Linked DNA regions of Arabidopsis thaliana. The protein of the gene in region 2 interacts with the protein of the main gene of each other region in a pairwise test. Each region holds a gene or a part of one and is shown on either strand. Other genes may lie near its edges. The genes, in order: AT3G15440, SHY2 and ABF2.

The links.
Region 1: the proteins of SHY2 (region 2) and AT3G15440 interact in a two-hybrid assay, tested with the Arabidopsis thaliana proteins (one study listed by BioGRID).
Region 3: the proteins of SHY2 (region 2) and ABF2 interact in a two-hybrid assay, tested with the Arabidopsis thaliana proteins (one study listed by BioGRID).

What each region holds. Positions count from the first base shown.
Region 1 is NC_003074.8:5,211,269-5,214,391, reverse strand, and holds AT3G15440 (RING/U-box protein), read left to right. Parts: upstream 1-1,885; 5' UTR 1,886-2,037; coding exon 2,038-2,469; 3' UTR 2,470-2,597; downstream 2,598-3,123. Other genes in the region: AT3G15460 (Ribosomal RNA processing Brix domain protein), read left to right, coding at 1-113; AT3G15450 (aluminum induced protein with YGL and LRDR motifs), read right to left, coding at 394-584, 682-1,046, 1,137-1,342; AT3G15430 (Regulator of chromosome condensation (RCC1) family protein), read right to left, coding at 2,830-3,123.
Region 2 is NC_003070.9:1,127,582-1,131,317, forward strand, and holds SHY2 (AUX/IAA transcriptional regulator family protein), read right to left. Parts: upstream 2,109-3,736; 5' UTR 2,039-2,108; coding exon 1,554-2,038; intron 1,472-1,553; coding exon 1,163-1,471; exon of another isoform or gene 1,059-1,162; coding exon 983-1,058; 3' UTR 568-982; downstream 1-567. Other genes in the region: AT1G04230 (rRNA-processing EFG1-like protein (DUF2361)), read left to right, coding at 1-92, 242-247. UniProt on the Arabidopsis thaliana protein: Aux/IAA proteins are short-lived transcriptional factors that function as repressors of early auxin response genes at low auxin concentrations.
Region 3 is NC_003070.9:17,164,506-17,169,717, reverse strand, and holds ABF2 (abscisic acid responsive elements-binding factor 2), read left to right. Parts: upstream 1-1,828; 5' UTR 1,829-1,945; intron 1,946-1,976; exon of another isoform or gene 1,977-2,236; 5' UTR 2,237-2,257; coding exon 2,258-3,376; coding exon of another isoform or gene 3,377-3,529; exon of another isoform or gene 3,530-3,648; coding exon of another isoform or gene 3,649-3,693; exon of another isoform or gene 3,694-3,935; coding exon 3,936-4,007; intron 4,008-4,087; coding exon 4,088-4,117; intron 4,118-4,223; coding exon 4,224-4,298; 3' UTR 4,299-4,560; downstream 4,561-5,212. UniProt on the Arabidopsis thaliana protein: Involved in ABA and stress responses and acts as a positive component of glucose signal transduction. Functions as a transcriptional activator in the ABA-inducible expression of rd29B.

The DNA.
Region 1 (3,123 bases), on a different chromosome or scaffold from region 2:
ATAAAGCTGGGAAATTTGCTAAGAAAATAAAGGCAAAAACAAGAAGAAAGATGCATGAACTCTCAAACCCATTGGAGCCTGATGAATTTACAGACATGTGGAACGATGAATGATAAAAGTCGACCAAAGTTTCTTTTTTGCTATTGTAAACTTCTAAATTCACAAAATCAACACAGTTTTGTCTTTACCACTGCTTTCTTCCCTCCCTCTTATCTATCAAAGAGTGAGATTGCGAATTTATCACACAGTTGTCTAAGTAAAGACTGCTATGTCACGAAGAAGCAAATCAATTTTATTTCTTTATCGTCTTCATAAGGCTATATTTACATAAACAAGAGTACATAAAAAGAAAACGCAACAAAGAAGCAAGAGTTAACGAAACTAGAAGCAAAATCAACGAGAATTAGCCAGCGCCCAGTTAGCTTCACTTCCTCTTCTAGGGATACTATTGATCTTAGAACAAGCATCAACTTTGAAACTAGCTCCACAAAGAACACCTTCACTATCAATCCTCGGCATTGCCTTCATCATATTAGTCGGATGGTCAAAGCTCTTAAGCCCTGTCTCACTATGAAACATACATCCTGCAATAACAAAAACACAAAACACACATCAAGATCTAAACTCAAAAGTATGTTTCTTTCTTTATAGGGCTAATGAAAAACTTAAGTTTTGGTTTACCATTAGGGAAAGGAGCAAACGATTTAGCACAGCCTTGCTTTATGATCTGAATATCATCAGACATTACAACAGATCCGTCTCCAGAAATTCCCCAGTAAAGACTCTCTCCTCCATCAGAACTCAGAGCTGAGAAAACAGAGGAAGTTTGAGTATCGTAGACAACGAAAGCGAAGCTTCCCTCAAGACCTCTAAGAACTTGATCTGCTGGGTAAGGACCACGATCACGAAGTGTTCGATAAGCTTCGATCACAAACATTGCCTCGTTTGAGTTCTTCCCAGATAAACCGTATTGTCGATTCAATGTACAGAGATTATTCAATCTCCCTAGAAACATACAGTAGATCCCATCTAGTCCACAGAACAACCTGAGCAAAACAACAAAACCATTATGAATCTATGAATTGGATTTAGAGATTTGACTTGTATATATGTGTTTTATGTATATTAGTATATACCTTTGACGAAGAGAGGTTTCTTGGCGAGCGTAAGCTAAGACGGCGGAGTCGCCGAAGTTCATAGAGAAAGCATTGTTTTGGTGATGAGAGAGGAAGTCGGAGAGAGTTTCGCCGGGAAGTTTAGGAGTTTTGCCGGAGAAATGAGAAGCCGGACTGTTGAGTTCTTCCGGTGGGTGAGCAAAAGCTTTCTGAAATATTGCCAACATTTTCGTTTTCTTTGTCTTTGATTAATCCAATGCTTGAAATGTGTTATGTTTTTGTTGAAGACAATGAGGGGTTTTATAAAGGTACGAGATTATTATTACACGAGATGCTGACTTGGATTTTAAGATAAGACTGACATGTCTTACGTGTTCTTATCCGTTTCTTTTTAGACAAAATTATTCTGTAGTTAATCTTTTTTTTTAAAGTGTCTGGTAGGTAAATAAACAAATTGTGAATCCAATGATGATTAGATATTTAATCTGACGAGTAAATCTTTTTGGAATGATATGATTTTTTAAACGTGCCACGATAGAAAAGTAGTATGTTTTTTTTTTGTCATGTTGGAAAAGTGGTAGGATATTTTTTGACAGCGAAATAGTTAAGTGAAATATGATTTTGAATATATGAGATATTTTATTAATACAATCATATAAGATATTTTAAATATCGGAATATCTATTTATGGTTCATCGAACCTTAACGATATGTATGAATGTTAACTTTTGTAGTTATGATCAATCTAATTTAATGAAGAATTCCTATTGTAACTATTTCCTAAAATCTCGTATTCAATCCCAACAATTACTCATTCCTGGTTACAATTTTCCTTTCACACAAATATTTTTTATACACTCTCATAGCTTGAAAAACCTAACTCTCTCTTAACTTCTTTTTTTCCCATCATTGCATAGAGATTATGGAGTGTATTGTGGATGATGTATCGGATAGTACATGTATGGTGACGCCAATCTATTATTCGAAAGAAACAACTCAAGATCGTCAGACTTTTTTGTTTGATTTTGAAGTTGTCTACACAAAAGTGCCTGAGCCAAATAGTGATGGAGAATCTGACTACATGTCCAGTAAGGTTAAAACAAGGACTACAAATCAACTTCAAAGATATGGTCGAGACGAGTTCATTGGTCAAGATGAAGAACAAATCAAAGCCACAATCTACGAAATCCTCAATGATGTTGGTGTTCCTCCGTATCTAGGGATCATGAAAACATTTGCTGAAGAAATTCAAAGCATATTGAATTCACCTCTGGAGAAATTGGAGAAGATAAAAGTAAAGATTGAAGTTGTTGCACACATGTTTCCTGAAGATGATGAGATCGATGTTGAGTGATTTATTATTCTTTTGCATCTTGGTCGTTACAATGATTCCTTCATTTGCTTCTAGGTTGTTTTCAGTTTTTTACTTTTACATTCTATAATGTTCTAAAGACTAAGATATTTTGCTAAGTCTTGAGTGGATCTACTATCACCAAGAGTTAAGGTATTTGTTATTATGTAGTTGAAGTTGTAAAACTTCTTAGATTAATTAACTCATGTCATAATTCTCTGCACTAAGGTGTCTGGAAATATCTTCTATTACTCTCACAACTTGAAGAAATCAAACAGATACAAATCAATACAAGATACACTAACCGGTAAATCCAATCTCAATCCGGTTCATACAAACATGGTTGTTTATCTATACCTTGGATCAACAAAGCCGGCTACGAGAACGGCCACAATGGAGAAAGATTTCGGTAGGTTCTAAGCAGCCACGGAGTGAGTCGTGACCAAGCTGAGCTCTTTCGTTATCTCCAAACCCAAAAATGCGACCACGTTGAGTGACCACAATGGTGTGATACAAACCGGTGCTAACTTGAGAGACACGGTGTGGTTTCAGACACTCCAATACTCTTGGCCTAAGAACTTTGTCTGAAACTCCTCTGTCCGGGAACCCAAGGCTTCCAAACCCCATCCACCCAAATCCATATAGTAATCCACCTTC
Region 2 (3,736 bases):
GTTCGCATACAAGTCAGAGTAGCAACTTGAGTTCTAATTCTGATGCTCACAAACCCAAGAGGAAGAGAAGGCCTAAGAAGAAGAAGCTACAGGTGAGTTTTCTCTCGACTCTTTCCTGGAATTCTGTTTCGTACTTTTGTTGAAAGTCTTATTGGTACATTTGCATCAATCTTTCAAACTCTATAACTAAAGAATCTGCATTTTACAAGCTGATTATATATTATTCGTTTTGCTGTTTCAGGCGTGAACAAGGTCTCTCCCGCCATGTCTGAGAAAACGAAGAAGCTCGTAACACAGTTCATCAATTCCAAAAGCTTCACTCATTACTACGGCCTGTCTAGTCTTACATCTTCTGATTGGATCTAATGCGTATATATATGTTGCCATGAAAGCAGAGAGGTAGGTGTCTGTTGTTTTTGGCTGATGAAATGAACCCTAAGCTTTGGGCAAAACGTATTTCTCATATAAGATAAGTTTTTTTTTTGTTTCTATTGATTTATGTTCATGTTGGCTTTGATCGAATTGTATTAATTAATGGGAGTAATCCAACCTCGACCATCAATAATATGATCTAAGAACTAGTGAACCAAAATAGAAAATGGGTATTGCTTGAAAATCTCTTTGATCAATGAGAACGCAAAACAGAATTGCTACAAATATAAAAACAACTCTTCAATCTTCATAACACTTTAATTAATGTAATACACATAACCAAAGATTTAAGGACAACCTTTTGCCCTGTTTCTGAAACAAAATGTAATTAGGTTCCAGTTTCATATGCTTAAGACCATTAAGCATGTTTACATTTGAATTTTACCGATGAGGTAAATAAAGGCTATGAATTGGATTCAATCCAATGAACATAGATCTTGCCCGAGAAACCCGACAACCCAAGCACAGACAGAGATTTCTCTGAACCAAAAGAAACTCTATTTTTCTTCAAGTTCTTTTGTGTCTCTGTTAGATTTCTTGAAGATATATCTCATACACCACAGCCTAAACCTTTGGCTTCTGATCCTTTCATGATCCTTAGTCTCTTGCACGTACATATGAACATCCTGCAACAACAAACAGAACCCATAAGAACACTTACAAAATTGTTGTTTCTGATTTTTGATTTTGTGGAAATTGTTTTCAGACAGGTATATGAAAGAAGACTTACTCCCATGGAACATCACCAATGAGCATCCAATCACCATCTTTGTCTTCATAAGTAGGCACAAAGTCTGAACCTTTATATCCATCTCTCTCAAAGTACTCTCCCACAGAGAATTTGAACATCACTTCTAAAGCTTTAAGCAACTCTGAGTATCCTTTGTAACAACTCAGATCTATTTTCCTCAAGTATGGTGCACCATCCATACTTACTTTCACATAGATTCCTTGACCCTCATGCTCAGATTCATTCTTCTTACTCTGAATGTTGTTCTTCCTGTAAGATCTAACTGGTGGCCATCCAACAATCTGAGCCCTGCAAAAAGGAAGAAACACGGTCAATCAACTGAATTCTCCACCACTACAGATTCAGAGACTTTTGTGTGAGTTTAACTTACTTTCGAGGAGGGGATGTTTCAGTTTTCCTTGATGATGATTCAATCTCCTTCTCAGTATCAGTTGATAGTACTCTCTTATTGTTGTTATTACAGCAAGAAACTCTCTCTTTTGCTTCACATACATTATCTGTTCCCGGTAATCCCAGCCTCAGCTCTGTTTCCTTGAGGTTAACAAACTCATCCATTTCTTCAAGAATTGCAGGAGAAGATAAAAAGAAAAGCTTTTGGTTATTATCCTTGAAAGAGAGGAGAGATATAGAGAAGCTGCTGATGATGAAGATGAGAGGCTTCGAGGAAGCTGAGTGTTTTATACAAGTTAAAGGAGAATAAAGATAGATACTGGTAGAGAGAGAAGAAACTGTTTTCTGAATTAAGGACAAAGGAAAAAAAGCTAAGCTTGTCGGTAGCAGTAACAGCAACTTTGAGGCAAAAGTGTGTCCCATCTTCTTGGGGACATTTGTGGGGACACTTTCTTTTTCTCCCATCTGTCCAAACCCAAAAACAAAATATTTTCATCTTTCTTTCTTGTGATAGACGGTCCAGATCAAATCTTCGAATCCCCCACCACATGTGGTATGCCATATGGGCATATCACCTCTCTCTATCTCCCATTAATAACTTATCACAACCAAGAAATTTCGGATCGTAAGCTCATAATCTTTTCTTACCAAGAACAACAACCGAATACATATTTTACTCGTTTTCTCAATAGATGGATGGTTAATTAACTCTATATGTAAAGGTAGCTAGTGTTCAATGTTTGGATTGTGGGTAGTTCAGATTTGATGAGTTTATTGACTTGAGATCATAAGTAATAATTTATGTCTCACATCTTCAAAAAACAGGTACTTTGGGTGTTGAAGAGCCAAAAACAGAGCCTACGTGACAAAATTACTTATTGTTCTTTACTGGGGTTTGTTAAAGCCCACAACTTTTGTCTCTCTGTCTCTAACCTATTAATCATGATCACCACACACACACACACACGTATATATGAATTTGAAATAAAACTGAGCATCACGACAGGACATCTTCCTTAAGGATCAACTAGCACAAGGCTTTAGTTAAATGTCAGTAACATCATAATGGGGTCTTGTAGTTTTGTTTTGGAACCTGAGAGATCTTTAACAGATTCTCGCTGTCTTTGTTTATGTTACAGCGTGGCATTGGTTGTATTCTACTTATATGGAGCTCCTATTGTAGATGTTTACGTCTTTGACATAACCTACTCGAATTGAACCGGATCTAAGTTTTGGCTCCATTTTTTGGTTTTCTCATGCATGGCTTTCGAAATCGAAGTCCGAATCGGTACTATGCAAAGAGTTGTTAAGAACTTATGTTATAACTTTACATTATACGTGTAACAATAATCCTAAAAGAATTTTTTTTTTTTTTTTATCTACATATATACGTACGTAGTGACTTTCAACAAGTACTAACGATTAACGAACATATTTCAACAAAATAAATTCATACAATTAGAGGTGACTGCTAACAGCTACTCAGTACTCATCACGCATTGATTTCTTCTGTACGGTGAGAAACATTCTCTTCTTGGTTCAGTCATAAATTACTAGATTCGTTTTCTTGACAGAACAGGTCATAAGTTTGAATTGAATTAATTGTATTTATACCAAGAAAAACTGATGGGAATATATATATATTTATATCATTATTTGTGAATTGGTCACAATATATAGAAGCATTTGATGACTAATATATGTAATATAAAGTTTGCACACACAAACAAATATAAAGTTTTTCCTAAAAAATTTATTTATAATCCGTCAGTGGAACGTAAGATAAAAAATAAATATAAATTAAATGTTTTGTATTCCCATATATATCTTATCCATAAGGAGTTAAAGACTTTTATTAGGCATGAATATCCGCAGGCTTTTCTCATTCACTATAGTATTATGGCATCATCTTTTATTTTTCTGCACTCATTATATGTCATACTGTAGCATACTTTGCAATTTAATTATATATATAAACGAATTTAGTAACTTATACTGAAAATAAAATGACAATGTCTTAGCTACAACAACTAATCACACAAAAATGATTTGTTTTGGTTTTTTAAAGGATAAATTAGACCATTAAGTAACAATCACGAATTTACTATAGTAGCAGTTAACGCAAAATATTTCATGAAACTTTTTCTAAAATAAAATTTGAAA
Region 3 (5,212 bases), about 16 Mb from region 2:
AGATATGAGGAATTAGAACCATCACAAGTCTTTAATATGTTCATTATCTTGAAATCTTTAGCGTTTATATGATGATATCTGTTACATTGAACTTATGTGCAGAGGTAGAGAGAACCAGTACACACTTGTGAGCAGGGCTTTAATATTCTATTAGCAACCAGTTAAAACCATTTTTTGTGTGCAAAGCAACCAGTTAAAACATAAGTATATATAATTTTGTGTTAAGAGAATATTCTTAAAGAATTTTTCCAAGCAAATTCAAAACTTATTAAACTATATGCTAGAGTCAATGATGTACTTTAGCAGAAAAAAAAAAAACACTACTATAATTAGTGAATTGAGAGTATTATTGTCCTTGTATTTAATTTTTAAACGTAAAAAATAATAAGATGGGTTTGATAATGTGAAGGTGAGCCCAACTAAAAACTAGAGACGTGGACCAATGGAAAAAAAGTAAGAAGACTCTTTGGTTTCTGACATCTTCCCCCACAAAACACAAAGTCGATGTGAAAGCAAATAATAGTGTTCGTCCACGTTACATCGACAATCAACGGCTGAGATTTGGTTTCATTATGTGTCTGTCTCATCGAGGTTGGTTCGTGTTTTTGTTTTTGTTGGTTGTGACAGTAATGGAGCGACACGTTATTTCGTTACAACTACTTTTTTCTTTTTTAAAACTTTTGTAATCAGAGGACTAAAGAAGTAAGTGGACCGATCATAAATAACAAACTCAGGTGATTGATTATTGGACCTTTGTCACTTCAGGATGGAGAAGCGTTTTCAATTCACCGGTGAAATAAAATATTAGCTGATTTTTTTAAAAAGAATTAAGGTTTTGAATGGATATTGTGGATAAATCGGATTAAAATTTGGAATTATACCAATATTTTCTTTTTTAACGAACATTTTGATTGGTAAACTTTAATCCATTTTGATATGTAAACTTTCTGAGAAGTTTTAGGACTATACCCATATATAATACCAATTTTTTATGTAAGAACTATATGAATTATTTTGTATATAGAGTTTTTTTTTCTTTTTGTTTTGTATATACCACTACAAATTATAATTTTGTGAATGATAAATAAGAAGTTGTCTAATCTACAAACCCATTTTGTTCTCCAACCACCGCAACCATGTGTACCTAAACAAATAAATATTAATTGGTTAATTAGCACAATTGTTAGAGTGAAATTATTATCTCGAATCCGATATAAAGAATTTGTCACTATTCTTTCCAAAATTTCCGATATTCAAAGTGTTGAGATCAATAGTAAAAATTTGAATCCGTCCAAATTGATTTAAATACAATTTTAAAGTTTACATACCCAAAAATCATTTGGTTTCTCTCAAAATATTTAAATATTTAGATATTACTTGGAAATCTGGGTAGTAACAATTTGGATTTGTCCAAGCAACATTTGGATCTAGATATCATAATTTCCAAGTCAACATATCCAAATTCGCCAGATATAATATTAATATATATATATATATATGTAAAATACAATATTTTCATTTCTTTTCTAGTATATAATACTTTATTTTCATAAACATAATCCAATCTTAATTTTACAATTTTAAAGACGTTTTAACATTTTAATTTATTGTGTAGATACAATGATTTTTGGACGGAATTCCAAAGTGAAAACAACTTATTTTAGGAACCTAAAGTAAATTAAAACAACATAAATCCTGAAAAGGAAAACAATTAGTAAGTGAAATTAGTAAAATAAAAACGAAGAGGGAAAGTGACGCAAAATACAAAGATACAGAGTATATACCATTTTATTAAAATAATTAGCAAAAGTAGTATTTATTCAAGATTGTTAGGAGCCAGAGAGACACTTGGCTCACCAGACAAACTACCTAATCACCCAAACGAAGAACCAAACATTTTGAAATTTTTTGGGAAAATTACAAAGCACACGAATTTAGCAAAAAGGTAATAGATTTTTCTTCTCTTTGTGTGTATAGAAGAAACTGTGGTTTTTGTTCATCTTCTTTTAATTCTTTCGATTTATGTCCACACTTAATTTTTGGATAAAATTACTAATTGTGCCTAATACTTGTCATAAACGCATTCATATTCTCCTGTTGGTTTAATCTGTTTTTATCCATTTGACTATTAAAGTTTTGAAATCTGTTAGTGTTTTTGAATTGGGTTTTGCAGATTTCTTGATTTTTATTTATAGATTAGGGTTCTGATACTAAAGTTTGGATTTTTAAACTAAAGTTTGGATTTTTTTTTGTATTCATGGTTCAGATCCAGTTATTAGGTGGAAGCAGATTTTGTAGAAAAATGGATGGTAGTATGAATTTGGGGAATGAGCCACCAGGAGATGGTGGTGGAGGTGGAGGGTTGACTAGACAAGGTTCGATATACTCGTTGACGTTTGATGAGTTTCAGAGCAGTGTAGGGAAAGATTTTGGGTCAATGAACATGGATGAGTTGTTAAAGAATATATGGAGTGCTGAAGAAACACAAGCCATGGCTAGTGGTGTGGTTCCAGTTCTTGGTGGAGGTCAAGAGGGTTTGCAGCTGCAGAGGCAAGGCTCGTTGACTCTGCCTCGAACGCTTAGTCAGAAGACGGTTGATCAAGTTTGGAAAGATCTATCCAAAGTTGGAAGTAGTGGAGTAGGGGGAAGTAACTTGTCTCAGGTGGCTCAGGCTCAGAGTCAGAGTCAGAGTCAGAGGCAGCAAACATTAGGTGAAGTAACTTTGGAGGAGTTTTTGGTTCGTGCTGGTGTTGTGAGAGAGGAAGCTCAGGTTGCTGCAAGAGCTCAGATTGCTGAGAACAATAAAGGCGGTTACTTTGGTAATGATGCCAACACAGGTTTCTCTGTCGAGTTTCAGCAGCCTTCTCCACGAGTTGTTGCCGCTGGTGTAATGGGAAATCTTGGTGCAGAGACTGCAAATTCTTTGCAGGTTCAAGGTTCTAGTTTGCCTCTGAATGTGAATGGAGCTAGAACAACATACCAGCAATCGCAACAGCAACAGCCAATCATGCCTAAGCAGCCTGGTTTTGGTTATGGAACACAAATGGGTCAGCTTAATAGTCCTGGGATAAGAGGTGGTGGTCTTGTGGGACTTGGAGATCAGTCTTTAACGAACAATGTGGGCTTTGTCCAAGGTGCTTCTGCTGCAATTCCTGGAGCTTTAGGCGTTGGTGCTGTGTCGCCTGTTACGCCATTGTCATCAGAAGGGATAGGGAAGAGTAATGGTGATTCTTCATCACTCTCTCCGTCTCCTTACATGTTTAATGGTGGTGTGAGAGGTAGAAAGAGTGGCACTGTGGAGAAAGTTGTAGAGAGAAGGCAAAGGAGAATGATAAAGAACCGAGAATCAGCTGCAAGGTCCCGGGCCAGGAAACAGGTTAATCTCTTCATCACCATCTATCTATGTACTCTTGATTGTGTTATAAGCCAAAAGATATGTAAAGTAAATTGGTTAGCTTATCTTGTAGTTAAGTTCTTTAACCACAATGAAGCGTTGAATTCAAAGCGTAAAGTGTCTTGTGTGAAGTAGTGTAGTAAACAACTAAACAGAATTATTGGGACTTGAAATCAGTACTTGTGGCTGAATGAATCTCGCAAACAAATATGAACCTTCTGGTTTTGGTGTATATACATGTTGCCCATCCGCAGATATTCACGGCAGACCAAACAATATACTGGAATGTAATTTGCTAATGTCATGAGGTGGCTCAGAGTTTAAATGAGTAGTGAGGGTTCATCGTCAAAACCTGAGTAGTGGCGACATGGTTTTTCTTTTGGGGCAAGGTAATGGGTAATTGGTGCTCCCAAAAACCTGTTACATCTGACATGTACTATGACCAAACTGTTGAGTTCTACATTTGAGGGTCTAAATGTTTTGAATGGCACTCTAGTCTTTATCTCATAAGCTTCTCAGTCGTGCTTGTTTTGGTTCATAGGCTTACACCGTGGAGCTTGAAGCTGAAGTTGCAAAGTTAAAGGAAGAGAATGACGAGTTACAACGAAAGCAGGTAATCACAAAACCATGTCTCAGCATCACAGTTGCTCATACGTTACATTCATTTCTCATTGTACGCCTCATGTTTTACAGGCAAGGATCATGGAAATGCAAAAGAATCAGGTAATAATTCTTATGCCAATGCAACAACACTGGAATCTCTAAACTGCACATTTCATAGCTGAACTTGTAAACTTGGTTGTTTGTTTCCGTGCTATGTATAAAACAGGAGACGGAGATGAGGAATCTTCTGCAAGGAGGTCCAAAGAAAAAGCTGAGGAGGACAGAGTCGGGACCTTGGTGAATCAATCAATGCCATCATACTTAGTTTCTGTAGATAAATGACATCCCACTTAGGTGTTTTAGTTGAATTAGACTTAATAGAGAAGAGCTTTCATCGTTTATATTGTAAGCTCTCTCCATATATGTTATGTTTTTTACATACACAGGATCATCAGAATCTCTTTTGCTTTATTTAGACCAAGAATTTTGTGTGTGTTTCTCGTTGTTGTTTGTCGTTGTCGCTATTAAACCTCAAAATGTACTTTCTTGATCTTGGAGTTACCAATTTTGAAGAATTGAAGTGTTGTTTGGTTTCTCTGAGTGCCAAAACTATGACCTGTGCCAACACAGCATTCTAGCCTTCTAGGCAAGCGACTATAACCCAAACCGAACCGAACCTTGGTCATTTCGGACGGATGAGGTAACCGAGTCGGTTTGATGTGGTTCACTGAACCGACAGTTACACAAAGTAAACATTTGTACTGAAATTTATGTATGTATCAAAGTAAAATTCCTCTAAATTCGATAACCAAACCAAACGGGATTAATCATTTGCATGGAGAATAAATACATAACCGAACCAATTTAACCGATGACCGAATCGAACCAAAACCGACTTATTCGGTTTGATTTTTTAGTTACTAAAAATGAAAGTGTTCACTCTCATTCTCTCCCACTTCGTCGCTCAAATTCTCCCTAATTTCACCTGCAAAACCCTAGTTTTTCGTTGATTCGTTTCGTCTCCGGTGTAAAATCAAATACTATCTTTAGGTATTTCGTCTTACCCAACTCTATCTTTCCATGTTTTCCGAGGACAAAATAAAAGGTTAATTATTCATGACTAACGTCTGTAATGGGTTTTATTGTGATGTATGTTTGAAATTTGGAACATTTCGATATAGCATTGTGTTACTAATGCTTTTGAATTTGTTAGAA